Alligator mississippiensis: one gene and its partners. The protein of the gene in region 1 interacts with the protein of each later gene in a pairwise test. Links are inferred from orthologs where the notes say so. Each region holds a gene or a part of one and is shown on either strand. Other genes may lie near its edges. The genes, in order: NCK2, EIF3H, LCP2 and HOXC4.

Region 1 (7,178 bases):
GATATCCTGGCTGTTTGCTAGAACATAGTACTAACCATTAATACCTTATAACACCCACCCCCCATTTTAAGTGCATTTAAGTTTTTTCAACCCAGACATTAAATTAATACAAAACAAATGAAACCTTACATTTACTGCATATAGCAGCATTCTTTGGAGAACCTACAATGTTTTCTCTTACACGTGGCCCTCTCGAATTTTACCTACTCTATTATTTTTACACTGACTTCCACCCACTGAAAAAAAAAAGGAAAGAAAGAAAGGAAATCTCAGAAGTTTTTCTGTCACTGGGGGGGGTATACACATTCTGGCAAATGTCACAATTCCGAGCTCCAATTAAACAGAAGTTTTCATGATACGAAATAAATATTTCTGAAATGTTACTACAAGCAATTGGATCACCCTACGTTACTGCTCCTGGAATGGTTTTTAATTAACAGGTTTGGTATTCTCTCTAGACAAGATGTCTTCTTCCTCACTTGAATGTATGAACTTGTAACAGACTACTCTATCTTAAAATTTTGCATCCTGCTGAACCAGGCAACTACACAAAAAGTACTTTAATCTTAGGTTTAACATTTAGCAACCTCTGCTTTATTAACAATGAAAGCATGTTCATTTCTTTTGTAGAACACAATTTACTGATCTCTTCTAAAAAGTAAGTTTTCTTTTCTATTTCATGCTTTCAAATGTTAAAATGTATTCTTTGTACTATTATTTATGGACTAAAAATTAAATCTTACATTTATGTAGCAAGGGTTTTTTTATAATAATTATTTAGAGCTGATTAGGGATTTGTTATTTCACCCACCACTAAAATGTAATCAGTCTAATTTCTTACAAGACAACTAATGTAGCTAATCAAAACAAAGGAAGATGGGAAGAAGGAGTTCCCCAAATAAATGTGCAAGGATCAAAAATGGTGTCTGTCTTGGGAAACCTCAATCAATACCCACACATACAAGTACTACAGATTCTTAAACAGACCCAAGTCATCAAGTTTTCAGCTGCATGAAGAAACAACACAGTGCCCAATAACATCACCATACACTTCATTTTGACTGATTTAAAAGAACAAACAGGGGCTCTTATTAAATTACCCATATGAACTCAAGATTTCTTTGGAGGTCTTCCATATGAAAAGTGACCAAAGCCTACCCTACTTAACTTTTGAGGTTTGAAGAGATTTCATTCTACAAGCTGCAGACTCTATCATTTCTGCACATTGAAAACATGGTAAAAAAGGGCATTGCCTTTAGCTTCAATTTAAGTTTAATAGCAGTCAAAAAGCAGCTTTCCACAGAACAACCCAGCTCTTTTGCAGGGCCTGTCTCTTTAGGACAGAAGCTGTTTTGCTGGTGGAGCACTGTGTCCAATGAGGGAAGAAGCAGAAATAAGAGTGTTCCTTATCCTTCCCCTGCAAAAGCCAAGAGATGATAAAAGGAATAAACTGGTAAAGGCGATCCCCTCCCCCTCCCATGCAACCAGCCAGGAAACTTTAAAAGGAAATGAAGGGGAGGAACAGAAGAGACAGCTAGCCCCTGCAAAAGAGAGAGAAAGAAAGCTAAGAGGGAGCTGGAATTTCAGTTTTTCAGACACTTATTAGGCAGAGGCCAAGGTAGGGAAACCAGGCAGAAGACAAATGACTACATAATCTTTGCATTTCTTTTGCAGGGGAAATCTTGGAGATCACTTAAAAAATTGAGCACACGTGTGTCACTTCTAGGCAGCTGATTCAGATGCAGTTAACAGCAACCACAACAAACAAAACCCCTCACGACTGTTATGTATTGCACGAGACACACACTACCAATCGCCATCCCAATCTTTATAAGAGCAGGACCTCCCTCCATCCCTGCCCAGAGCTGTCGGCAGCTGCCATCCTGGCTCAAGTTCAGCGAGGAATAACTACAAAGGCTGACGTGCCAGCCCCCTTGTTGCCGATACCACCGCTCGGGGCGACCCCAAGCATTTTAGTTTCGACCGCCGTGATGCTACCTTTCCGAAACAATTGAGTCACTTCAAGACCAATTGCCTTTGTTGCCAAGTTAAAAGCACCCTGAGCTGTCTTTAACCCAAACCTGAGCCTACACAGCTGCGTTTGTTCCTGAACGGCTGCTGAAGAACAGCGGTGACAAGTACGGGGGTCACACCACTGCTCAAAGACAATGGCACAGAGCTTAAAAAAAAAAAAGGGGGGGGGGGAGCGGGGGAGGTGACAAGCCCGCAGATGCTGAACACGTTAAACCCTATAAAGCTGCTTCACTGAGGGCACAAGAAGCTGAGTCCCGCCCAAAGCGCGGGTCTCTTGAAGGGACACCCGTGTCCTTAAGGCTGAAGCGAGCAGAGGCCACAGGGATCGGGCCCGAGGAAGGGAGCAGGGGCCGAAACGGGACACGGCTGCAGCCGAAGGGTAGGAGGTGGCAGAGCGGAAAGCAACGGAGCCCCCGTCTCGGTCCCAGTCGGATGAGGCCCGAGGGACGCGGGCAGACCCCTCGCGAGAGGCGGAGGAGGGGGCTCCGCTCCCGCACACCTGCGCCCCGCGGCCCCTCCCCTCGCCAAGTTTCCCAGGCCCCGGCTCCGCCCCGCCCCGGCCCGTGACCCCCGACCCAGGCCGCCGCGGGCGGGACGTGGCGGGAGCAGCGCCCCCCACACCCGCAGGTGAGCCCGGCCGGGGCCTCCTTTCCCCTCCCCTCCCTTCCCTTCCCGTCCCGGCAGCGGGCAAGGGCCGAGGCCGCGCCTACCTGGGGGCAGCGGCGGCGGCGTCTCCCCGGCGGGCTCCGCTCTTTGTCTCGGCGGGTCCCGCTCCCCCTCCCGTCGGCGGCGGATGCAGCAGCAGCGGCCGCCTCCTTCTTCCCGCGGGGCCGCCCCCCACCCGCCCCTCCCGGACGGACGCGCTGCCCCAGGCCCCGGCTGCTGCCTCGCTCAGCCCCGCGGCGGCGGCATCGGCCCCTCCTCCGTGCTTGCCTCTTCCCTTCCTGCCGCGGCCGCTGCCGGGATCCGTGGGGCGGGGGAAGGGGGCGGCCTCTGAGCCCGCCCTCCCTCGCCCGGGCTCCCGCCCCGCCCCCGCCATGGAGACGCCCAGTCCCTCCTAGGCCTTGCACACGCCCCGCCCCCCACAACCGGGCGCTCGGGGGTAAAGCCCCGCCCCTTTACGGGGGGGGGGGGGGAAGCAACACAGGGCTGCACAAAGCCCCTGAATCGGCGTTTCTCACACACGGGCCGAGACCGTTTGTCCGATTCAACTGCAGCCCGAGCTATAAATAGCCCAAAGATTACCGCCCCCTCCAGACCCACCCATTGGCGCTTCCTGTGTGACGTCATCCCGGGAGCCCCGCCTTTAGAAAGACGCAAGGGGCATGGTAGGGAGGGACGCCCGTTCTGAGGGCTCCCTCCCCAACCCAGACATGCCCGGCGCTGCCCCATTAGGCCTTCCCCGTGACGTCAGCCGCGGGAGCCCCACCCCCTCAAGGCGGCCCGGGACCTAAGGGGGAAAGCCGGCTGCGAGGGGGCGGGGCTGTCCCGTGGGGCGGGGCGAGCTGGGCTCTGTCGGTGCTCGCCTCAGCGGGCGGGATAGGCTGGGAGGGCGAGAGTGTGGTGAGGGCGGGGTGACTGGTTTTCTCTGATTTAAAAAGAAATCCCCAATTTTGGCAGTAAAAAAAGTAACCCAAATCCACATTTTTCTGTGATTAAAATGAAACATCACTATATATATAGTAACCCAAATATATATATATATATATATATAGTAACTATATAGTACCTATAGTAACCAACTATGTACTCTATATATAGTATATATAGTAACCCATATCTATTTATAGTATAGTATATATAGTAACTATATACTATATATATTGACCCAAATATATATATATGTATACATATATATCTACTAACCCCAAATATGAAACAGCACTAATATATAAATAGATATAGTGGTGTTTCATTTTAATCATGGAACATGTGGATTTTGGGTTACTTTTTATACTTGGAAAATTGGGGATTTTTTTTTTTTTTTTAAATCGGAGAAAACCAGTATCCCTGCTCATCAGATTGGCATTGTCAGATCCCAGCAGCTTGGCCTCTCCTGACTTGTTCCCTTGTCGACTTGCAGACTTTGCATTTAAACGTGTTTGCTAGGGTTACTCTCGCCCCCACCCCCATGCCAAGGGCAGGTCCAAGGGTGCAGGTGCCATGGTGCAGCTATACCCTGCATCCAAAATTTTAAAGCCAACTGCCTGGCAATGATGGCAGCATTGCTAGACGGAGCCAACTGACTTCATGGTTCATCTTGTGGGCTAAGATCAAGTGTAGCCGCTGCACTGGTCTGTTGCCCAGACGGAGAGGGATTTAAATGGCATTATGTAGTGAAGGGTGCACCCCTGTCCAATGCAGAGGACAGGACGCCCTCTAAGAGTCTTGTAATTAGCTTCCCAGTGCCCAGCTTCCAGTGGGAGGATCTTGGCTACACACTTACTTTATGGAAATGGGGGGACTCCTCCCAACCATGCTCCTGTGGTCATTGGCTAAGGACAAGTGAGACTCAGGGGCATGCAAACCCTAAGCCCTCCAGTCTTGGGCCTGCATGTAGGATGCCTGCCAATGGATTTGGGAGTATCTGAAGCCCCAGGCTGAAAAGTCTGGGGTGGAGGATACTTGCGGGTTATAGCCCCACATATAGTGTTTGAACAACTGAATGTTGCTTAATCGAGAGGATTCAGAACTGATTTGGCTAATTCAACTTGGAATACAAAAAATTTTCCAAAAAAAAAATCTCTCCTCCCCTTCAGGTTTTAAGGACACCCTCCCCTTTCCAATGGTCCTGATGTTCCACTCTTCAAACTATCCTTGCTTTTGCAATGTTGTGATGTCTCTAAACTATTCCAGGGAATGCCACTCTTCCATTTCACAACCCTACAGACTGTTTTTAGCTCTAGCTAAAAAACTTAACTCGGGTGTAATAAAATTAACTCAGGTTGTGACAGTGAAGTATCAGAGGCACTGTTCAGACACTGAAGAAGGCTAGATTTTGTGTTAGGCAGAAAAGGTTCTTTGGGTAGATATGGTATCTTTTATTAAACCAACTAAATAGTTGAGGAAATTATTCTTTCCAAGCTTTCGGGCACAAACACCCTTCTTCAGGCATGGGGAGAGTTTGTGTTATGAATTTGAGTGAGAGATGCATATTGAACTAAAATGACCACGGAACTAGTGACACAAAAGGACCTGGGGGTTACAGTGGACAATAAGCTGGATATGAACCAATAGTGTGCCCTTGTTGCCAAGAAAGCTAACAGCATACTGGACTCCATTAATAGGAGTGTTGCCAGAAGAGAAGGGAATAACCAGTTCTCTCAATATTTAGCACTGGTGAGCTCACATCTCAAGTACTGTGCCCAGTTTTGCACATCCCTCCCGCCCCCCTCCAGAAAGGATGCAGACAAATTGGAGAGTCTAGAGGAGGACAACGAGAATGGCTTGGGGGCTAGAGCACAGGACTTATGAGGAGAGGCTGAGGGAACTGGGCTTATTTAGTCTGGAGAAGAAAAGGTTGAGACGGGATTGAATAGCAGTGTTCAGCTACCTGAAGGGTGTTTCCAAAGAGGATATAGCTAGACTGCTCTCAGTGGTGGCAGACGACAGAAATAGGAGAAATGGTTTCAAGTTGCAGCAAGAGAAGTTTAAGTTAGATATTATGAAAAACTCTCACCAGGGTGGAAGTACAGCACTGGAACAAACATGTTGTGGAAGCTCCATCCTTGGAGGTTTTTAAAGCCTGGCTATAGTAAGCTTTGACTGGGGTCATCTAGCTGGGGATGGTCCTGCTTTGAGCAGGGGGTTGGACTAGATGACTTTCTGAGGTTGCTTCCAACCCTCATTTGCTCTGATTTTATGATTCTATCTTTAGACTCTTTTTTTGCCATGCTTCTTATATATTTTTAAACTGTATATATAATCTAGCAAATTTGTGCACATACCAATAATTATATTTGCTTTTGCTTTGATCTTAAACTGAGTAATATAGTGCTAGCCCCCTAGTATATCAGTTAAGCATCTAGTTTCTCTTTAACTGGAGAAAAATGCGTTGTGCTATATGTGATGATGTGCCACACATCTGCATCCCCCCCTTTTCAAAATCCTAGATCTGTCCATGTTTGCCACCCCTAACAAGAAGAAATAAGTCTGTATGCAAGCCAGGAATGCTTATGAAGTCAGTTGACTGTTTTTTTCTTAAATAAAAACTTCTTCAGAAAAAACCCACAACATGCATATTACAACAGAGTGTAGCTGTGCCTCAGTAAAATGAGTTGTTTTGCTTTCCACATGAGACACAGTATGTGCGTTTTGTCAACCTATGTCCTGAGTTTAAAACAAAAGGTGCACTGTTTTTCTGCTTTGCAAACCTGTATGGAATCAGGAATGCCTTCGGGGAGGCAGTACCATGTATTGCAGACGTAGGCAATGCTTTCCTTTGTTAAGATATCAAGACAACAGATTATTTTTATTTATTTTTTTATTAGAAACTTAAAAATGATGAAAGGATTTTCTCACAATACCTGTTTAAAAGAAAAAACGTTATTAGAAAATGTTAAAAAGTATAGTTATTACATGACTTAGTAGAGTTGGAAGACAATACAGGACCTTGTGCATAAGTACATATTTGGTGTATGTTAATGCAATCCAAGATGTGCAGTTTAGCCATATATTCTGGCTGAAACCAAGCATGGAAAAATTCAACCTAAAAGTAGAATTTCTTCTTTAAAAAGTTACTATTTGGGATCCAATTTTGCCATAATTTCTGGAAGCAGACCCCTCTGCCCACATGAAGCCCGCTAATTTTTTTTTTTTAATCATTGGGGGTTTAGGTGAGTGGAGAAGGCCAAAATAGCGGGACTTTAGCAAGTAATATTAAAGTTATGGAGGAAGGAAGTTACTTTAAAACTTTAATAAGTTGTGTGCGGGCCGGGAGCGATCCGGGGCCCTTTTTCCGTGCCTCGGGCTTTGGCCAGCAGCCCAGACACGCTGGGTCGGAGAAAGCAGGCGACACGCTAGAATTAGGCATGGACGCTTAGTGGTTGATTCAAGATTGTTTACTTACACCGTAGATGGTCGCAGTGTAGGCTGGAAAGTTTCCCAGGTAAAGCTCCGCTTAAATCCCCATTTGAGGACTCAGA
Region 2 (7,629 bases), on another chromosome or scaffold:
TATATCTCTGTCGTGATAAAAGAGCAAAAATTAAGAGCTGGCATTTTCCAAGGGGTGTCTCAAGTCTAACAAGGTTGAGAACCAGTGCTCCACATGAATGATCTGCGCTAGTAATATGACTGTGCCCACAGCTCCATGCAAGAGCCATCACCTTATGTTTTCAGCACGCTGTAGAACCAAGGTGAAGAGTGGTCCATGATCCGATTTGGCAAACCCCAGAAACATTGCTGGGCATCCCAAGAAAATACTCCTTTTCCAAAAGCGGTTTTAATACCTGAATCTGCCTCTCACATTTCTGATTCTGCTTAGCCAAGCTGAAGGCAATGCACTTAACTACTCAGTTTTTATTCTTTTGAAATTTGAGAAAGCAGTAGCCATGGCACCAAGAAACATCTGTGGCCACAGGGAAAAAAAATGTTGATGGCACAAATCTCCCTTACTGAATGGGAGAGGCAACCTAGTGGCAGATGATACAGAAAAGACTGAAGTAGTTAATGCCTTTTTTACCTCAGTCTTCACAGGCAAAGTCAGCTCCCGGACTACTGTACTTGGCAGCACAGTCTGGGGAGAATGTGAGCAGCAAACAGTGGCGAGAGAACAGGTATGGGTAAGGGTGGCCAAATATGGCCTACAGGCTGCATCCAACCAACAATATGATTTTATCTGGCCCCTTGGTCCCCCCCAGTTCAAGGTTGGGGAGCAGCCCAGGTTATGGCATGTGCAGATAGTCCTGCCAGCCCCAGGCACAGAGGTGCCACCTACCGCAGAGCACAGCCTACCCTATCCCCACACACAGCTGTCAAGCACACCAGGAGCTGTAATCCATGGGGTCAGATGGCACAGCAGCAGGACTAGGCTTCCTGGCAGCCCCCACAATGGCAGCTCCCTCTGGCTGCCACTGCTGGACCTGGCCCCACTGGCCAGGCACCCTGGCCCATCTGCCTTACACCCACCACTGGGGGAAGATGAAGCAGAGAGGACATGCACACAGGACACGCTCAGCCAGGTGGATGGGATAGGGCCATGGGAGAACAGGAAGCAGCATCAGGGAGCAGAACAAGCAGGTAGCAGCAGGGCCAAGATTGCGATACGGTGACAGTGCGGGGCTGGGGCCAAGCTGTAATCCACTATCGTCACATCCATGCAATGGGCAGCAGGTCTGCAGGCAAGGGACAGCCGCTGCCCACAGAACTGGCACCCATTGCAGGGATTGTGGCTCTGCCCCAGACCCTGGCCTCACACTGTCACCACCCCATGATCCTGGCCCTGGCTCCTCCCACCTGTCCTGTTCCCCAATTCACTTGCAACCCCATCCCATCCGTCCAGCTGAGCACATCCCACCTGTAGGGTCCCAGGCTAGTCTCCATGAAGACCCTGCCCACCCACTCTGTCCAGCATCCCTGACTGTGGGTGCAGAGCCAACAGGCCTGGGGCCAGATAGATCAATTGTCATTTTCCCGCCCTCACCATGCTAGGTAGTGTGACAAGGTGTCAAGACTGGGTTATCACCCCTTCCTCCCTCCTCCCCTCCCCCCCCACAAGAGCTCACCAAAACTCTGGGTCAGCACCAGCAGTTCTCACCCCCTTCCCAAAACAGCTGACCAAAAGTCCTTAAGTGGCCTCCTAGCCCAAATAATTGGCCACCCCTAGGTTAGGGGCTACTTAGAAAAGCTGGATAAATGCAAATGAGAAGTGAAAAGTGCTGCCTGTAGGACCGAATAATCCCAAGCACCAGTACAGGCTGGGGGCTGACTGGCTGGGCAACGGAAAAGGACCTTGGGGTTACAGTGGACAACAAGCTGAATATGAGCCAGCAGTGTGCCCTTGTTGCAAAGCAGGCTAATGGCTTACTGGGCTGCATTGGTAGGTGTCTTGCCAGTAGGTAAAGGGACATGATTCTTCCCCCCTATTCAGCACTGGTGAGGCCACACCTGGAGTCCTGTGTTCAGTTTTGGGCACCCCACTACAGCAAGCTTGTGGACAAATTAGAAAGAGTCCAGCGGACGGCAACAAAAATGGTGAGGGGCTGGGGGACATGACCTGAGGAGAGGCTGAGGGAACTGGGTTTATTTAGTCTGGAGAAGAGAAGACAGAGGGGATTTGGTAGCAGCCTTTAATTACCTGAAGGCTGGTTCCAAAGAGGATGGAGCTGGACTGTACTCAGTGGTGGCAGATGACAGAACAAGGAGCAATGGTCTCAAGTTGCAGCAAGGGAAGTTTAGGTTAGATATTAGGAAAAACTCTCTCACTAGGCGGGCAGTAAAACACTGGCACAGGTTACCCACAGAGGTAGCAGACTCTCCATCCTCAGAGGCTTTCAAAACCCAGCTAGACAAAGCCTTGGCTGGGATGATCTAGTTGGGGCTGGTCCTGCTCTGACCAGGGGCTGGACCAGATGTGACCTCCTGACATCCCTTCCCACCCTCACTTTCTACGATTCGTTTCCTACGTCTGTTTTTCCCCCGCTGTACCACAAAAGGCCACGCTATGTCCAACCTGCGGCCGAGCGACCGGCTCCCACGGGCCACGAGTGCCGGGTCCTGGGACGGCACCGAGAGCTTGTTGCAGCCAAACGGCATCGTAAGCTTAAAAAGGGGCCGTGCCGCGATCTTGCTTCTCGCCCGTCGCACACGCCTCCCCCTCGTGGCGCGGGGTCGGCAGGGGGAGGGCGGAGCGAGCAGAGCACGCGCGGGGATGCGCGCGGGGCCCCCTCGCAAAGCCCAGCCCTGGGGGCAGCGTCGCGCCCGGCCGCGGGGCCTGGGAGGCCGCAGCGCGCGCGGAGCCGCCCCCGCCTGGCCCACGAGGCTCCCACACGGCCGCCGCCAGCTCAGGCCCGCCCCGCCCCAGCCCCACGCACGCACCAGCCCGTCGATCTGCACTTGCTTGACGGCCGAGTCCCCCGGCGCCGCCTTACTCTTGACTTTGGCGACCGCGGAGCCGGCGGCAGCCGCTTCTTTGCGAGACGCCATCCTCCTGAGCCGGCCGGAAAGTGAAAAGGGAAGCACCGGAAGCGGGGTGGGGCGGCCGGATGTGACGCCGCCAAATGCACTCCGGGCGGAAACCTGGGAGCGGGGACAAAGAGCGCATGCGTACGGAAGCTTCGTGCTCGTGTGAGCGCTGGTAGCGCATACGCAGGAGTTGCTGCCTCGCAGCCTGCAGTACGTGGAGGGGAGCTGCGCTGTTGCCCCGTGTAGCGGGGAAGGGCTCCGCTGGGCGGGGTGCGTGGGGTACCTGCGCAGCCAAAGTCAGTTCCTCCAAACTTAGACAGGGGTGTGCTAGGAGGTGACCCACGCATCTCCATCACATCATAGCGCCTGGCCTTCCAACGCCTAACTTTATCCTTACTACATGGTTAATCTAATAAAAGAGATGGCCCTAAGACATCTTTGGCTTTCATCACCCTTATTATATTATTATTGCTTTTGTATCCAGCCTGCTGCATCCAGAAAAGCACAGAGGCTCTTACAGTAACTGACAAGCAACAGTAGATGCCCCGCATCTAGGGAACGCGCTCCATGACACCTGCTCCTACTTCCCTGCTCCTGACCCTTCAGAGAAAACCCCCAACCCCATCCCATCTGCATTTAGGTATAAGTAGGGTGATTGTAGGTCCCAGATTGAAATCCAGAACTCTCCCTTCCAGAGGCCAAACCTGGCCAGCTGAGCGTCTTGTGTGCAGAGCACAAGCTGGAGCAGTAGAAGCTGTGAAATAGGAAGCCCTAGCAGCAAAATTGCCCGAATGCAGGGGTTCTCAAACTGGGTTGCAACCCCCTGAGGGGTTGAGAGCAACTTAAAAGGGGGTTGCTTGCAAACTTCCCAAGGGTACACGCAGCAGTGCAGGGACATGGTGCACGGTGGCGGTGCAGAGTGCTGGATGGCGGCAGCAGCTGCCGCACACAAGCTCCCCATCCACTTCCGCCACCATCTGGCACTCAGTGTCACAGTATGACAAAGTTTGAGAACCCCTGCACTAATAAGGTTAGCTTAATTGTGAAATGACCATTAAAAAGGAGGGTGTTAACACCTGTGAAAAAAACTGTGGGTCATAAATGGGTCATTGACTCCTTAGCTGTCTGAATACTAATACCAATGGTGCCCTGCCTCTGCCTGCAGCAGCAGAGAGGCGGAGGGTGGGGGTGCAGTGTCCCGGATTTCACACTGTCCCAAATTTCACATTGCCCCATGTGGTCACCCTAGGTATAAGAAATCTTCTTCCACTCAAGACGCTCCCAAGCCCATCCATTCCCCTGCCTCACACCAAGAGATCTCTCCCTCTCCCCACCCAAGACGTCCCTCCTAAGACTGCTCCCCCTCTTCTGCACAGGGTCTGGCCGTTCCAAAAATGTATATGTTCTCTTTCCCCAACAAATACAGTGTTCAAAAGAGCATCAGAAAGATCCTCCATCCTGGCTTTGGTCCTTGCTAAAAGGCAATGCCAAAGGGCACCTAATTGCAACATAAGGAGATGAAAACTTTGCCATTTTGTTTAACATAATGTATACAGTTATTCAACATGATTTAACTTACAGGTGTTTTTAAATGTTGTGTAGTTTGCAGTCAAAGGTGTTCTTAATCTGGAATCAAGCATATAAATGCCCACAAAGTAAAGACTTCAGAGAAACACTCTCAAGCCAAAAATGCAGGTAGGAAGATAGTTTTCACTACTCACTGATGGATCCGCTGACTGGTGACATCACATTTTTGTGGGACAGTTATCTCGTTCTCTGCTTGATGTTATGGTATGTTAGGCATATACAGGTATAACTCATAGAAAAATGGGCTGTGAAAATGGGCATAGAAAATTGGGTTGGAAGGGACCTCAGCAGGTCACCTAGTCCAACCCCCTGCTCAAAGCAGGACCATCCCTAACTACATCATTTCAGACAAGGCTTTGTCTACCTGGGTCTCAAAGACCTCTAAGGATGGAAAAGACCTCTAAACCATCCCAGACAAATGTATGTCTAACCTGCAGCAGCAGGGGGGCGGGTGGGGAGGCATGTGGCTTCACCCCCTCCCCTTCCCCCATGATGCCTGTACCCCCACAGATTCACAGAAGTTTAGGGCTGGTAGGGACTTGATGAGATCATCGGGTCCAGCCCCTGCCTTGCTTTGGGCAGGAAAGACTGCTGGGGTCAAATAACCCCAGCAAGATGTGCATCCAAATAACCCCCCTCAGTGCCTGTTGCCCCCTGCCAAAACAGTGAGCACTACTGTCATGGGAGGAAATCAGGTTGATTAGCCGTGATTAGTTCTTATGAAACCTATATTGGCTGCTTCCTATCAGCCTGCTATCCCTTAGATCAGTGAGGGCTAGGGGTGCACTGGTAGAGATTTTGGGGGCTGATACCAATGGCTGATTTTTAATGAGCCATATCAGCCAATACTCAGCTCAGCAGCATGGAGAGCAGCATCCTGCTGTTAAGTCTGTTGGGGAAGGAGAGAGGGAAGGGGTGTGGAGCTGGCAGATCAAGGCCCCTGTGAAGAGGGATGGAGTAGGGCTGGGGATGGTGCTGGGACAGGGACAGGCACTGCATAACCAGGGTGGGGTGCAGGATGGAGCTGCAGGTCATCCATGGGGGAGGGAGACGGCTGTTTCTGCTGCTGCACGCACCCCGGGAGGACATGGGGGACATGTGCCTCCCTGGATCTGTGCGCAGGGTGAAGGTGGGCTGTCACTGTGGGCTGGAGCTGGGGCTCTTCCCAGCATGGGGGCTGGGCCAGGCTGTGCTTGGGGTGAGTGACAGTGGCACTGTGAAAGGAGCTACAGTGAATTTTGGGGTGGCTGTAGCCCCCCTTCCAGCGCCACCACCGCCCGCTCCGAGCGCAACCCCAGCCCAGCCTCCCCAGCCAGGAAGAGCCTGGCGCTGCCTGCAGCCCCAGCCCACAGTGGCAGCTCGCCCTTGCCCTGTGCACAGATCCAGGGGGCACATGTCCCCCATGCCTTCCTGTGGTGCATGCAGCAGCAGAAGCCACACACTCCCCAGCTCCGTCCCATGCTTTGGTCCATTCTGGCTGGGCAGCGCCTGCCCCAGCCCCACTCCCTCACCACAGAGGCCTTGGTCTGCCCCCCACCACACCCTTTTCTTCCCCCATGCCCCTTCCCCCACAAAAGACTTACCAACTGGATGCTGCTCTCTACACTGCTGGGCTTGCTGTGGCTGTGCACGTGCATGCAGCATTTATTGGCAACATTATCATCCACATCAGCCAAGAAAAGTTGATTGCCGATAATGTCAATTTTCCTTTTATCGGGGCCGCTACCATACGAGACTAATATATCGGTGGACCTCTAGTGGGGGCAACCTTTTTGGCAGGCACACCACAAATTAGCTTCACACCCTCCCTGAGTGCCACTCTGATCCTTTCCTCTGCCCAATTTGCTTCTCTGCTTTCTATTCTCTGCTCTCTGTCTGATTTGCTGTACTGTCTTCTACTTCTTCCCCTATCAACTGTTGTGCTGCCTGTCCCCCTCCCCTCCCCATCTGCCATGTGCCACACACACAAGCGGCCAGTGCCACTTGTGGCAGTTATTCTGCAAGTTGGCTACCCCACCCCTGTTCTAGATTATTACAATCAGTTGTGTGATAATATGTTCCCGTATCTTTCCAGGTATCAAAATGAGACTGACTGGTTGCTAATTTTGTGGGTCATCCTTTTTCCCTTTTGTATGAGCTTCATACATGCACATTTCAGTCTCCTCTGCAATTACTTCAGCCAATTTCTTGAGTAGTCTAGGATGAATCTCATCAGGCCCTGCTAATTGAAAACATCTCACTTATGTAAATAATCTATAATTTATTCTGTCCCACACTAGGCTGAGTACCTGTTCCACTGTTTTAGATGCTGTGTTTGTCATTGAATAGTTGACCTTTTTTTGTGAAGACTGAAGTTAAAAAGGCATTAAACACTTCAGCCTTCTCCATATCATCCATTATTAGCTTCTCCTTCCCATTAAGAGAAACTCACTTTTCTTGATCTCCTTCCTACTTATAATGCATTTAAGGAATGCTTTTTTTTTTAATTCTACATCCATTGCTAGCCTTGGCATTTCGGATTTTGCCCCTACATGTTCAGACTCTTATATTCATCCTGTTAGCATGGCCAAAGTTCTCTTTTGTATAAGTCTTCTTTTAAAGCCTCAGCTCTTATTGAAGAACTGACAGTTTGGGTAAGCAGGCTTATTGCTACACTTCCTGTCCTTCCTGTAGATAGGGAGAGCATGTGTCTTCATTCTCTTAATATTGTCTCTTTAAGGAACAATCAAGTTTCCTGCACTCTTTTTCCCTTAGACTTAGCACCCCTGATCTTGCCAATCAGTTCTCTGGATTTAGTTGGAAGTTTCTTGCTTTTATTCTGCTGTTCTTTTTTCCTCCTCCTCCTTTACAGTCACAGATTTTACCATTTCCTAATCAGTGGTTGTGTCTACATGAGATGCTGACTACGCAGTAGCCCGTGACTACAGTGCAGTAGCACTGTGCGGCAAAAACTGCGACAATGCTGCTGTGCAGTAGTTTCGGGCTACTGCGCAGTCAGCATCACAAAAAAGCTGTTCATACAAGTGCTAAATGGCTGCGCAGTAACAACTGTGCAGTCAGTGTCTCATGTAGATGCGGCCCCTGTCACCTAAAT
Region 3 (6,956 bases), on another chromosome or scaffold:
GCGTCCAGTTCTGGGTGCCACACTTCAAGAGGGATGTGGCTAGCATTGAGAGGGTCCAGAGGAGGGCCACTTGCATGGTAAAGGGGCAGCGGGTCAGGACCTATGAAGAGAGGCTAAAGGGCCTGAATCTATGCAGCCTCCACAAGAGAAGGCTGAGAGGGGATCTGGTGGCCATTTATAAACTCACCAGGGGGGACCAGCAGAAATTGGGTGAAGCCCTGTTTTCTCGGGCACCACTGGGGGTTACTAGGAATAATGGCCACAAACTGTTAGAGAGAAGGTTCATCAGGAGACATTACTTTATGGTTAGGGCTGCCAGGCTCTGGAACGGACTCCCAAGGGACGTGGTACAATCTCCTCCCCTGGGGATCTTCAAGAGGAGGCTAGACAGAGATTTGACTGGGGTGTTATGACCCCGGCACTCATTCCTGCCCAGGGCAGGGGGTCAGACCTGATGATCTGTTTAGGTCCCTTCCGACCCTAAGCACCATGATACTATGAAACTAAGGGTAAGCAAGCGATTACTAGACAGCGGAAAGAAACTGATAGATAAGAAAAGTTACAGGTCATCACAGAAGTAGAGTTCCATATAGTGATTATGAAGGGATAGCTAGAAATATGTAACAATATAAAGATATCCAACTGGTGTAAAAAACAAGGATTCTTTAGTGTGCGTTGTATTAATGTTTGTAACATAGAATAAAGGGGATTACATTAAGAAAGGGAAAATTATGACAAATTCAAAAAACCCTTCAAGTCAGATGCAACTGAGGATGGAACAGTGGAGGAAGAGCGGAGGAAGATCTGTTAGTTGGAGAGTATTAAAACTAAATTGGTCAAAAGAAAAAAGACAAAATGTCCAACTCTGTAGGGTTGTGGAGTTTTACTTCATGTTAATTTAAAGATTTATGAGCTTCATGTGTGCAATGAGACAGCTCTGGAAAAATGAAAATGTAAACCAATGTGTTGTGGAAAAAGTCATTATGAAAGCAGTTAGACATGAGTTCCATCTTCCAATAAGGTCCATCCACGATGTAATCTTCTGCCTTCCTCAGACAGGAAAGAGAGGGTGGAAAGTGTTAATGCTTTTTTAACCCTGAAGAGCGTGGGCAGTATGGGCTTCCTTTTTGAACTGTCAGCTCCAAAACACTAAGAATCTCAAGTACTATTTAAACCAGTGTAGCTATAACCAATGGGCAATTTCATTGTTAGCCTATATTTGTAAGTACTTGAAGAGTTACCCTCTAAAGTGAAGTTCATTATCAGTGGAGGTTTTTCAGATAAAAAGCTATAAAATTATCTCAGTCTAGTAACCAGTAATAGTTACTATGAGTAAATTGGTTACGTTCCCACTCCAAGAAGAATACTACTACTGGTGAAATATCCAGTAGTAACCAATTAACACAGTGGTGATGTGATTATCAGGAGCTGATACTAGGGATGGGAGGGTGGGGTTGCGGGGACAAGGTTTCTGGCAGGGAACTGAAACAATGCCAAATTAAACTGTAGTGGTGAATTATCCGACAGGCTAATTAACTAGAGTTTACTGTATTTCTCACTTTTAAGGGACTGCAGGTCTTCACAAAAGGGTGACATTCTGAGATGCAAAATTCATGCAACATAGCATACTGTGAAAGGGATGTTATCTTGTACTCTCCTCTCCTGAAGACTTCACATGCCTTTTTCCTTCTTTTTTGAAGGTTCTTCACTTCTCTTTGCTTGTGGACATACAAAATTTGAGTGGGTTTGGGGATGTGACTGATCAACTCTATTTCCCCTTCTACTGCTTTCTACTTGCCCCATCTCATTCATCCACCCACTATTGTTTCCACAGCTATCGCTCGGACTACCTCTCTCAAGGATCAGTCTATGCTCCTTCCTACCAGTTAAGCCCTCCAAGCTGCCTTAGCCACCAACCCCTCTGGGCCTGCTTAGATCCTTCAACCTTTCCTTCTCTTCCCAGTACTTAAATCCACTCTTTAAATCTCCTCTTTAATCCTTATTTTGGTTACAATATCCTGCCATCATGGAACTCAACCTGGTCTACTCACCTTTTCACTAAGGTCCAAAGATAAAGACGAGTCAGATAGGTGAGGTGAAAGGGGAAGAATTATTATTGTGAGGAACAACAGTGACTACAGAGAAATAGGGAGAGAAGACAACAAAGTAGCTATGGAAATGGTGAGAGGGCAGAAATTATGAGTAATTAACTGAAATCTAAAGCTGGAAATAAAGGAAAAAATATATCTTTTATTTCAGTTACCACGTGACTGAATACCCTGTCCCACATTGTAATGGTGGGCAGTTGACACACACACACACACAGACACACTGTTCACACTGGGCGGGCAACCTTTTTATCTGAGCAAGTGACCAACATTTTCCACTGATAAAATACAACAGGAAATTGCATGATAAACAATTACATTAATGCAAAAATTTGGATGAAAATTTCAACAGGAAATTCAATATTATGTTTCCCCAGCAGCCTGTATTTGTCTATGATGTCGTATGCATTTATCAAAACGAACAAACCACTATTCAAAGAAAAAAACCCAGACATCTTTACACAGATCAGGTGTAACATTTTTTCAAAATGTGTGAAGTGTGCAGGTATACATGACAGAGGTATACTGTATAGCAAACACTATTCCTACTCAGGCCCATAAACTACCAGACCTCATCCCTGTCACTAAACCATGACTGGATAATACTTCTACAGCACCTTGTATCAGCATGACTTTGGGAGGAAATTCTGTTTTGGGGCAAGGGGAAGGGAGAATAAAGTAAATTTTCTCAAAGTATCTTTTTAATGGAATGTGTTTAAAGCCGCTAGGAAGTTTGGATTATCAGTCTCAGTAAGGAAGCTGAAAGTGGGAAGTGTAGATGAGTTAAAGGAACACAGTAGGATCAATTTATCATAACTCTGGGGTCTGTCACATAACCCCTATCATCTCATGCAGAGGTATAATGGGACAGTTTTGCACCCTGGGCAGCAGTAGCATACAAGGCAGAAGCTACAACTGAGCTGCTAGCAATATAACAACCTAGAGAGCAGCAGCAATGGCTGCTGTTTTTGCACACTCCTGAAGTCAATACCTCAGGTTGGTTCCCTGGTTGCCCGCTTTTAATTAGGCTACCAATCTCAGAATTCAATACTTTATTGCTCAGGCTCAGGGTGGTGACCACTAGGCCTGCATATAAAATGCAGGAGAAATCATTACAATTTAATTTTAAAAATTCATTTAAACCTGGAACTTCTAAATATTTCCTCCGGTTCTAATTATGACTTTATATCACTGAGGTACTGTTTATGTATTGACTCCATAACTATATCTGAGCATCTATCCTCATGCACAAATGTAACACTAACTTGGTACTGTACCCTTGTGTATAAAAAATACCATACGCTCAGACTATGTACATATGATTGTAGAAAATACATGGAACTATTTCAGAGACTACTGCTAAGAGCTTGCATAACTGCATGAGCCAGAGGAATTTGTTTTATGTGTTATTTTACATGTTATTATTTTTACACGTTAGAAAGGTAAGGGAGTATTTATTAATATAAGTAGTTAATCTGTCATCTGGGGTGACAAGAAATGCAAAAGAAAGTTCCTTTATGTAGGTATTTCCTCATTTTTTTAGGTATCGCATGGCTACATTTGCACTTAAGCAAATTTAACTCAAAAGCAACAGTCTTTTTCAGGAATCCTCATGTATATACATGCACACAATACAGAGTCTAGGTACCAGTATATTTATATGGGTATCTCATGTAAATACACAACCCTTCCCACTTAAATTCAGATGAAAAGGGCTCATACAGATTTCACTTACATGCAGCAGGCAGAATATTTTAAACATGTTATTGCGCTTCCTTGTTTACTTATTTAGATTCACATATAAAGGAAGTGGTAAGCCTGACTAGCTGACAAGTTTTCTGAGAAGAGACCATTTTGTACTGAGAGGAAGCAGGGGCTCTCTTGAATGCTCTTACACCATAATTCAGAAATAAGAAGTCAGTATTTAACAAAAGAAGTTCTGAGCATGTATTAGGCAAGGAGATTATTAAACTTGCTGGAAGTGGTCTCAGACAAGAAGTCTATGCTGTTTCATCAATACTCTTGGCATGAAAATTCTGTAACCTCCTAGGAAATTAAAACTAAAATGGATTTGCGAAACATTCCTTATCGCTCAGATGTGGCTGCTTGGAACCCAGATGAACTAGCAGAGTACTTTAAAACAGTAAGTTTCACTGTGTTTTGCCCTCGAATAGTTGAAAAACAAATGACTGTAACATACTTTAAGCATGTGTGTGTGTGTACATACACACACACACATATATATAGTATGTATATGTATAGATATAGATATAGAACCCTGGGGAATCCTTCTTGATACCTCCTCTCAACTAGACATAACAAGTCTATAGATATAGATATAACCTGTCTATATATATAGATATATATGTATTACATGTTATGTCTAGTTGAGAGGAGGTATCAAGAAGGATTCCCCAGGGTTCTATCCTGGGTCTGGTATTGTTTAATATCTTCATTAATGATTTGGATGACAGGACTGAGTGTGTGCTTAGCAAATTTATGGATAACACCAAGCTTTGGGTGGAATTTCAGACACTCTGGAGGGCAAAGCTAGAATCCAGGATGACCTGGACAGACTGGAGAAATGGTACAGAATCAGTCAGATGAAACTGAACAGGGACAAGTGCAATGTCCTACACTTGGGACAGAATAACTGCATGCACAAATACAGACTTCATTACTGTAGGCTTCAGTAGTGCAGAGGCTTCAGTACTGCAGAGAAAGACCTGTGGATTACAGTAGACCATAAACTGAATATAAAGCAACAATGCGCCCTCATTACAAAACAATCCAACAGTATCCTGGGTTTGTATAAACTGGAGTATCACTTGGAAATCAAGAAAAGGGATTCTTCCACTCTATTCAGCAATAGTGAGAGGATTTACATAAATTAGTGTGCCTAGTTTTGGGCCCTGCACTTCAAGAAGGATATGGACAGTTTGAAAAGAGTCCAGCGCAGGGCAACAAAATTGATCGGGGCCTTGACAGACCAGACTTATGAGAAAAGATTGAAAAAAGTAGGGTTACTTAGCCTGAAGAAGAGGAGCCTGAGGTGGGATGGGGTGGGAGGGAGGGGGTGAAATTTGATCACAGTCATGGAATATCAGAAGGGCGATTATAGAGAGGATGGATGTAAATGGGCTCTTCTCTGGGGCTGTAGGGGACAGGACTTGGAGCAATGACCCCAAATTGCAGCAGGGGAAATTTAAGTTGGAGATTAGGAGGAACTTTTTGAGTACAGGGGTGTTCAGGCTTTGGAACAGGCTACCTAGAGAAGTCATGGAATCTCCATCCTTGGAAATGTCAAAAGCAGGTTAGACAGACACTTGGCAGAGATAGTTTAGTCAGAGATGATCCTATTTTGTGCAGGAGTCTAGCCTAGATTACCTTATGAGGTCCTTTCCAGCTCTACTTTCCTATGAGCCTACTCAGATGCACAAACGCACATTATTTAAAACAAGAGCACAATCTGTGGCACAAATAATTTCAAATGATCTTTTAGAAATCAAAACATGCCCCATAAAAAGTCATTGTATTCTATATTGATCTCATGAAGACTTTTTTAAATTCTGAAAATATATATGTTAAATTAATAGCAAAGAAACTAATAGCTTCTAAAGGAAGCAAGAAAAAAATGCTTTGTAAGGATGTCTCATTTAGTTTGGTGCTGTAAAAATTATACGCTTAACACAGTAACTCTAGTTTTAAAGGTAGAAAAGTGTTAAATGTTGGTCATATATGGTGTCTCCAGTAAGCTAATTCCTGTATCTAAATATCTTCAGTTTTAGGACCCACTATAAACTTGAGTGCATTATAAAACTGTGTTATAGCCTAGAGCTCAATTTAAAGCTATAGTACCTTGTGTTTGCTGGACTATAGGGAAAACCTGACAGGAACCCTGACACAAAGTGTTTCAGTATTTGTACTGCGATTTTTGGAAGCCTACAGAGTGTTAGATTCTTAAATTCACTAAGGATTTGCTACTCAGATCACTTATGCTCCTTTAAAAAGCCAGCCTGGAAATCCACATACCTAGCCTTTTAATGACCATAAAATGAAGCCTGCTTCTTTGTCAGGCAACACTCCCAATTAGTTCCGTAAACTTCCTTGGGACTTTCCATATGAATAAGTACTGCTCTGTCTAAGCAAGGGCGGCAGACTATTTGCCCTAGAGATTTATTCCAGTGCTTTCAGTAGATATTAATTCCCAAAGACAAATATATTTTGCTGTCTCACAACAGAACAATTCATAACTATATTTCCGCTGCTTTTTTATAAAAAAATGGAAGAAAAATTCTTGGAAGTTTTGATTCAAATAAAAAGGAGGGCAGCTTCAGGATCCAAGTGGACCTGTTCCTCACCCCAGTTCCCCCACGTATCATGTTCTCCACACTATTTCCTTAAGAGAGAGGGCCTTCCTCAGAATTCCTAGGCAGAATTTTTTAGCTACAGTAGCATTTCCTGTAATGCACTAGGCCAAAGGAGTGGAAGCCTCAAACCCCTCATTGCTTATGACCTCTTTCAGCTTAGCACTCTATAAAAAAAATTATAACATAATGGGCCAAATTCACTGCTGCTTTACATTCTGTGGAATCTTCCTGGCACTGGTGAGTTTGAACAGGGATCATATGAGTAGAGAATTTGGTTCATTCATGTTAAAAATTATATCTTTTCTCTTCCACGTATTTATTTCTCTATAGCTCTACAACGTTCCCTAATTTTTAATATTCAGCAGAAATATCCATCTGTGCTTCCATTTTAGCTAAGAATTACATTTACAAAAAAAATGAAATAAAAATCCAAAAACTTCCATCTGAAATTATAAACCAGATTGACCTAAATGTTTCT
Region 4 (6,988 bases), on another chromosome or scaffold:
ATCCTATTTCTGTAATCATGTGGTTCCAATAAACGCTCATTGTTTGCCCATAAACTGTCTTTACGACTTCAGAGATCGCAGCAAACAGTCTCCCATCGTGTTTGCAGAAACAAAACCAAGGCAGAGTTGTCTCCCTGGCTTCCCACCCCCAGCTCAGGATACACTCGTGCTCTCCTTTAAAGAAATAAAATCATCTCAGGAATGAGCCTGCCAGAAATTGCCCCCTCGAAAGACGCCAAATAAAACTCGCCTCTTTTTTTTCCCCCATTCATTAGAAAGCAACTGTTTTCAATTTACCAGGTCGCATGGCTCTTGCATGAACCGAAGACGCCGGCAATTTTTCGAATCATAATAGTAATAGCAGTAATAATAATAATAACATAATACTAACATGAATAGCAGCAATAATAATAGTAGTAGTAACAATAATGATAGTGATGACGATGGTAGTAGTAGTAATAATAGTAATAATAACAACAATAATAATAATACACGGCAGGAATGATCAGGTGGATTTAACAATATTTCTCAAAACAACCTTTAAGACAAAGGATAGAAGCACATGTCCCTTTTTGAACCCTAGCAAGTTCTTCCTCTCCTTTTTTTTTTTTTTTAATAGTTATTTTTTTCCACGCCACACAGAGAAATCAAATTAAGAATCAGTCCCAGGGAACTTCTAAACCACTCAGATCACTTTAGATAACCTCTGGCGAGTTCCCACTGGAAATTAAAGGACAGAAGAGGCCGTATTTTTTTGTAACCCAGGAAAGCAGAAAGTATCCCTCCGTTGCACGGTTTAAGCCTGAACTCAATCAGCTTGAGAGGTCCTTTCGATAAGGCGATCAATCCATATATTGCATTCATATAGCTGGGACCCCTCAATAATTTATAAGAAGGCAGGGACCAGCAATTTTTTTTGCCACCCTTCCCCCCTTCCCAGCCCATAGTCACAACAACGTCTGTTTTATCTTTTACTTTATGGTATCATTTTATATGCCCACCATTTTATACTGTGACTTCCAGCCACAGGAGTTTCGACTGCAAACACAGACACACAGTTCACGAAAAGCCGGCATGCCGAGGGGATAAGAAGGAGGAAAAAAAGAAGAGAAAAGAAAATTAAGCTAGAACAGCGCATCCCTTAAGTGAAACCAATACGTGGATCGCTTTCTATAGTAGTGTGGACAGCCTGATATATAGAGAGCTAGAGATATATGGAGAGCTGATATAGAGAGCTAGAGATGGTAGGTATCTAGAGATAGATAGATAGATAGATAGATAGATAGATAGATAGATAGATAGATAGATAGATAGATAGATAGATAGATAGATAGAGATGTGTCTGTGCGTGTGTAAGAAGAAAGTCTCCTTTCCATTGCACTCACTAAAGGTCCTTCAGGAGGAAAAGGTATTCAAAGACAAGGGGGAAATAGATGCTGAATAAAACTCTAGGGGGTCAACATCATGGGAAACCCAGGTGGAATTAGCAGGAGCACCCTCATGTAAAAAGATGCCTGCAACTTGTGTCCATAGGGAGCAGAGCCGGGAGAAAAGGTTTGCAATCTCCTGCCGAGGGCCAGGAGCACAATAGGGGGAGAAGAACCGGGTTCGTGGGAAGCTCCCAGCCCAGCCGCCGGGTGTGAGTGGAGGTACGGATGGGAGGGTGAGCACAGGATGGGTGTTTTCTTCTTCTTTTTTTTTTTTTTTTTGGTGGTGGGGGGTGGGAAGAAATTCGGAATAAAACCAGGCAGACGAACCTGGCCTTAAATCATGTGCTGGAGGCAGTGGGGGCTGGGCGTGCAAGGCCGTGTTTGTTGCACGCACACACACTCACACATCCCCCCCCCCCCGCCATAATTGCTCATTAAAAATGGCACAAACCGCTTGAGTGAGACGGCGGCTGCTAGGACGCTTCCTGGATGCGGCTCGCGGCCCGCACTGCGCATGTGTGCTCAGTAGACACCCCCTGATTTCCTCTTATGAAAAGTTTGGGGATTCTTTTATATAGAGAACTATATGGAGGTATTGGCTCTGGTGCTTAGGGCTTGCAATCCACAGCTGGCCCCTGCCCTCTCTGCCCACCCCCCTCTTATTCCCTCCCCCACCCAACACCCATCTTGCAATCCCCCCCCCCTTTAATTTTAACTAGTAGATGGTCCATCGGATGCATCTGAGGCCTTCCAGCAACACCCCCTCCCCTCTCCCCACACACACCCCCCGCCACCCCCGTGAACACTGCACCATTGTCAATGCAAAAGCAGGCTGCAGCAAGCATCCCTGGCTGTCTCCAGCAAACCAGATCGGCACAAATGTGACATCAGCAGGAGCAAGCCCCTCTTCCCCCGAATTAACTGCATTGGTGCCGAAGCCCAGCACAAGTCTACCATATCCAAGCTACACCCCTCGCTCGCAAAAAAAAAAAACCCCGATGCATCATTATCTTTAACACCCATTGCTATGGATCATTAGTTACACATTTTAGCCAATAAGGGAACACTTACCAACGTTGCCTGTCTCCCCCTCTCCCTGTCTCTCTCTGTCTCTCTCTCTCTCTTTCTCTCTCTCTCTCTTTCTGATCCACTGACGCTGCAGCTCAGCTCCACAGAAACATTTTTTTTTAAAAAAAAGGAAAAATAATCATAATAATCATATAAAAAAATAAGAAAGATGGAAACCAAAGCGAAACAGTTTCTTCTCTGCTTGGACAGGGGATGGGGGGAGCTTAGCAAGGCATAGCATGGGGTTTTTTTCCCTAAAAAAGAAAAAAAAAGGGAAAAAAAAACGGTATTTACAACTCCTTCTGCCCCTGTTCACTGCATCGTCCAAAGGAAATATACTGCGTTTTGCCCCTAGGGGTTGAGAAAAGGAAGCAAGCACGAGACGCAGCAGTAAACACATTATATCCCAAAATGCCCAAGGCAACCAACACTTCCAACCCCAAGGAGAGGAAAAAAAAAATCTAGATCTCAAAAAAAATAATAATAATGATGCTAATAATGAGGGGGGAAAAATACCATCCTACCCCTGGCACTGCTTGGACTGTTAAAGGAAGGACTACTGCGAAAGAGTCATAAGAGAAACCACAATAAAAAGTTCACGTTCATGGATGGAGTCCACATGACTTCCTGTGGCCAATCCAACTTGTGATTCAGTCGTAAACTTTTATTGCTTAGCTGTAAATTTTCTGCAAACAACCAGGAATGCATTGCATTTTTGTGACGAGTGCAAATGCTCTCCTCTGTCGCCATGTTTATACAATTCTTTTTTAATATTAGTATTTTTTTTTAAAAAGCCTTCTCTCTCCCGTCCCCCCCCCCCCGCCCAGTTTCATTAAAGGGAACAAATTAATATCGGGGATTTTCAAAGAGCGAGGTTGCCTCGTCACGTCTGAGCTGCCTTGTTGAAGGATCAGCCGGACTTGTTGTTGTTGTTGGGTTTTTAAGGCAGGGAGATTTGGCCTTATGCGCCGTGTTCATTTGGTTAATTAATTAAGTGTCTTAGTGGAATGAGCACGAAGGAGGCAAAGAGGGGAAATAGGGATATTGCGGGGAATTGAAATAATAATAATCATCATCATACAATGATCAACCCCTGTTAAATTCAAGCAGAGCTAGGAATAAAGACCACTGAGTTGGGTTGTGGGTTTTCTTGAATTTCCACCAAGGGTGTGTCCGCTTGGATGTCGGGGCTGAGCCCCAATTTCCTTCGGGTTTTCCTCCATATCCTCTGTGCTACATAACCGAGCCCTCTAACTCAACACTAAAGATATGGGAAGGATCATATTATTAACCTCCAAAGGGGAGCAGCTAATGCCGTATTTCCCCAGCAATTTCCTTTAATTTTTTTTGCCTTCATTTTTATGGCGGTATTTTTTTTGTGTATGTGTAATTAATTAATTCCTTCCCAATTATAGGATGGCGTGGTGGGATTCTTTTATTTTTAATCACGGCGTGTCTGGAAATCCTAGCTAGAACTTGTCTGTGAGCCCTCATCCCTTTATCGCACAAGGTTGGTGGTGGGTTTTTTTTTTTGGGGGGGGTGCATATTTTGTATCAGGAATTATTTTTTTTTATTTTGATATTTGGATTTGGGGGGTTAAGCCGATATAAGAAAAACAGACATTTGGTGCTAGGGCAAAAAAATGTTGTCATGTAGAGGCCTGCTAGGAGCATGTGACGAGTCCCATAACCTTTGCAAATCGCCCAGCATTCTTAGTTAGATCTGCTAGTTCAGATTAAATGTTGCACTTCTTCCTCCTTCCCCCCCCTCCACCCCCACCCCTGAAATATTTTGACCATCTCAACTCGCTTCAGGGCTAGACACAAGAGCCAGGACAAAGATTGGAGAGATAAGACTACCACAAAAAAAAATCACCGCATTTTTGTCGCAATAGTAGGACTCAAGGGCTCTACACATATCTCCCCCCTCTGCTCTCGTATTATAGAGAAAGGTCAATTCTGCAGGTATTTCTCATCGCTTTGCCTTTATTTGCTTATTTTCAGCTAAGGGCAGGGGGGTTGCGGGGGGTGGGGGGGAGGGCGCACGCGTGTGTGTCTGTCTGTCCAAACAACACAAAGGTTGCAATACAACCGGATGGAAGGGAAATTACTTTATTCACTTTACAAACCACCAATAAATTTTATAACAGGTAGTTAAAAGTTACGAGCGGGGAGCCAGCGGCACAACAGCGCCCGGAACACAATGGACTTGCCATTTTCCAAAGCAGCAGACGAGAGAAAAGAATCCATAAAATGAACAGGACATTTTATCTTTTGCAAGGAAAAAAAAAAAAACAACGAGGAAAAAAAAAAATCCCCAACAACCCCACAACCTGCCCGACCCGTTTCCAAAGCAGTCTTTCGGCCCATTATTTTAATATGACCTTTCTACAGGATCTCAGCCCCATGCAACGCTGCTTTTCCACTTCTTGGGCTGGAATGAAATATTAGAAAAGGTCTCTTTTCTTGTTATCCCCCCCCCTCCCCTTTCTCTTCAAGGAAAAGCCAATTTTGGGGGAGAAATGGGGTGAAGTGAGGAAAAAAATTGAAGCCAGGTGGGGAAAAAAAATCTCCCCTTCCCCAAGTTTCTCAAACTTTCTTATTTGTACCCACCCCCTTCCGAGCTGTGTTGGGTGTTGGCAAAAGATGCATATACACATAACGCCTGAGAAATTCGTTGCCTCTCCAATATAATCTGCGCCCATATTCCGGTATAAAATCTAAACGAATTTTTGAGCCTAATGGATGCATTCTCGTGGAGCGGCGGCTGTGATTAGAATAATAAATTAAGGCAAAATGAGCAATAAGCTGCAGATCAGCTTTTCGCGGAATTATATTTTTCACAAATCACAAATGGAGATCCGAAGGAAATTTGATTGGCTAATAAAAAGCGTGGAATAGGATGATATTTCTTACTGCAGGCGGCTAGATGAGTCTAATTTCAGTAATGTCGAAGCGATGATCATTTCGGTATAAGCCACTTTGTGAGGAGCGCATCTTCTTTGAAATTACTTTCCCCTCATAAAATGGCTCTTTTTTTTCCTCCTCCCCCCCCCTCTTTTTTCTCTCTCGAAATGATGGGATGATTGAGAAAATCACTGGATGGCAGCTGAAGATGCGACTCTGTTGTGTTGACTGCAGCCCATAAACAGTTAGCCAAAAAAAAAAAAGAGGGGGGGAACTGCTTGACTTGTAGTTTCAATAATTTCCCTTCAGACCCTTGCGCAGATAAATGTCGTTCTGTATTATTTGTGCCTATCAAACTACTTAGAGCCGGGGGTTTAAATATGATGGATAGAGAACGCCGCCAACGTTTTCTTGTATTTTATTTTATTTTTAAATGAGATATGTTCTCGCTCTTGCCTAATCCCCGTGAACAAAAATAATAATAATAATAATCTGGGTATTTCCTATGTAAGATTTCATCAAAATCTTTTTTTTTTCCCCTCCCCAAAAGGCAGGAGTTTAGAAATAGCCCTGAGGGACTTCGCTTGAATTTGCCTGCTAACATTGATGCAGAGGTGCACAGACGCCTTGCACTGTAGCAAGGGGAAGATAACTACCGGGTTGTAAATGCCAGAAGAATAACCCTGAAGATGATACCTCAGTTCAAATAAACCCGTCTGGCTTATGGCTAATAAACCAGCCTACCTTAAGTGGCTACTTTGGCAAGAGCGAAGGCTATAGCGAGCCTTATTTTATTTCTGTAGCTCTTCCAAGGAGAAAACGAGTTGATAAGCACGTCTGTTTGCCCTACAATAAGCAGCCGACTAGAAACGGTTGGGTGTGCGGTACAGCCGTGTTGCGTGTGTTGTGTGCGGTTCCAGGGCTCGGAGGTGTGTGCATGCTGGGATGCAGGGATCAGATGCCTGCAGACAGACAGACACACTTCCCTTGCCCGCACACCCTGCAAGCAAGCACGCACTCCTTCGCCCCGCATGGACACACACCTTGTGTGTGGTGCTCTCTTGAACCTGCAGACACCCTGGCACACGGGTCTAGCCCCACACACGCCGTGTCGCACATTCACAGGCACCAGAGGGGAGAGGGGAGGCTGGGTAAGCGCACGGGTCCACATTGAAGTCATGCTTTAATACGGGATGAAACCCGCAGCCGAGCCCTGCCTCTTGCTGGGGATCTGAGCAGTGTCCAGCCTTGCCCATCACCGAGGCATTTAAATCCTTTAAGCTTCGTGTTTTGGGTTAGGAATGTCCCACGCAAACCCCAGACGCTGTGCAGTGAATCAATGCATCCTAGGAATTTTGTGCTTGCTTATCTCTCCTATCTGGGTAAACAACCCGTCTACTTTTATTTCCTCTTGCCCTATATGATGTAGTCCATTTAGAGCAGGGAGAGGGGAAAACAAGAGATGGAAAGATTTCACAGCCCCATCTCCATCGCTGAGCGAAAGGAAGACGAGCGCAAGGGAAATATTTGCAATGTCTTAGTTATTCCAACTCTCCAAGAGAACTGAAGGCACCGCGGTGGGG

Evidence for each region.
Region 2: the proteins of NCK2 (region 1) and EIF3H interact in binary tests that used the Homo sapiens proteins (3 or more experiments, as listed by UniProt). The two-hybrid records come from large-scale screens. The link is inferred for Alligator mississippiensis from reciprocal best matches to the Homo sapiens genes NCK2 and EIF3H.
Region 3: the proteins of NCK2 (region 1) and LCP2 interact in binary tests that used the Homo sapiens proteins (3 or more experiments, as listed by UniProt). The two-hybrid records come from large-scale screens. The link is inferred for Alligator mississippiensis from reciprocal best matches to the Homo sapiens genes NCK2 and LCP2.
Region 4: the proteins of NCK2 (region 1) and HOXC4 interact in binary tests that used the Homo sapiens proteins (3 or more experiments, as listed by UniProt). The two-hybrid records come from large-scale screens. The link is inferred for Alligator mississippiensis from reciprocal best matches to the Homo sapiens genes NCK2 and HOXC4.

The regions. Positions count from the first base shown.
Region 1 is NC_081824.1:347,833,840-347,841,017, reverse strand, and holds the start of NCK2 (cytoplasmic protein NCK2), read right to left. Parts: upstream 3,026-7,178; 5' UTR 2,745-3,025; intron 1-2,744. UniProt on the Homo sapiens protein: Adapter protein which associates with tyrosine-phosphorylated growth factor receptors or their cellular substrates. Maintains low levels of EIF2S1 phosphorylation by promoting its dephosphorylation by PP1.
Region 2 is NC_081826.1:24,947,247-24,954,875, reverse strand, and holds the start of EIF3H (eukaryotic translation initiation factor 3 subunit H), read right to left. Parts: upstream 3,002-7,629; 5' UTR 2,970-3,001; coding exon 2,862-2,969; intron 1-2,861.
Region 3 is NC_081832.1:49,569,555-49,576,510, forward strand, and holds the start of LCP2 (lymphocyte cytosolic protein 2), read left to right. Parts: upstream 1-3,945; 5' UTR 3,946-4,173; coding exon 4,174-4,251; intron 4,252-6,956. UniProt on the Homo sapiens protein: Adapter protein primarily involved in signaling pathways within T-cells, as well as other immune cells such as platelets, mast cells, and natural killer (NK) cells.
Region 4 is NC_081838.1:8,231,765-8,238,752, forward strand, and holds the start of HOXC4 (homeobox protein Hox-C4), read right to left. Parts: upstream 3,007-6,988; 5' UTR 2,502-3,006; intron 55-2,501; exon of another isoform or gene 1-54. UniProt on the Homo sapiens protein: Sequence-specific transcription factor which is part of a developmental regulatory system that provides cells with specific positional identities on the anterior-posterior axis.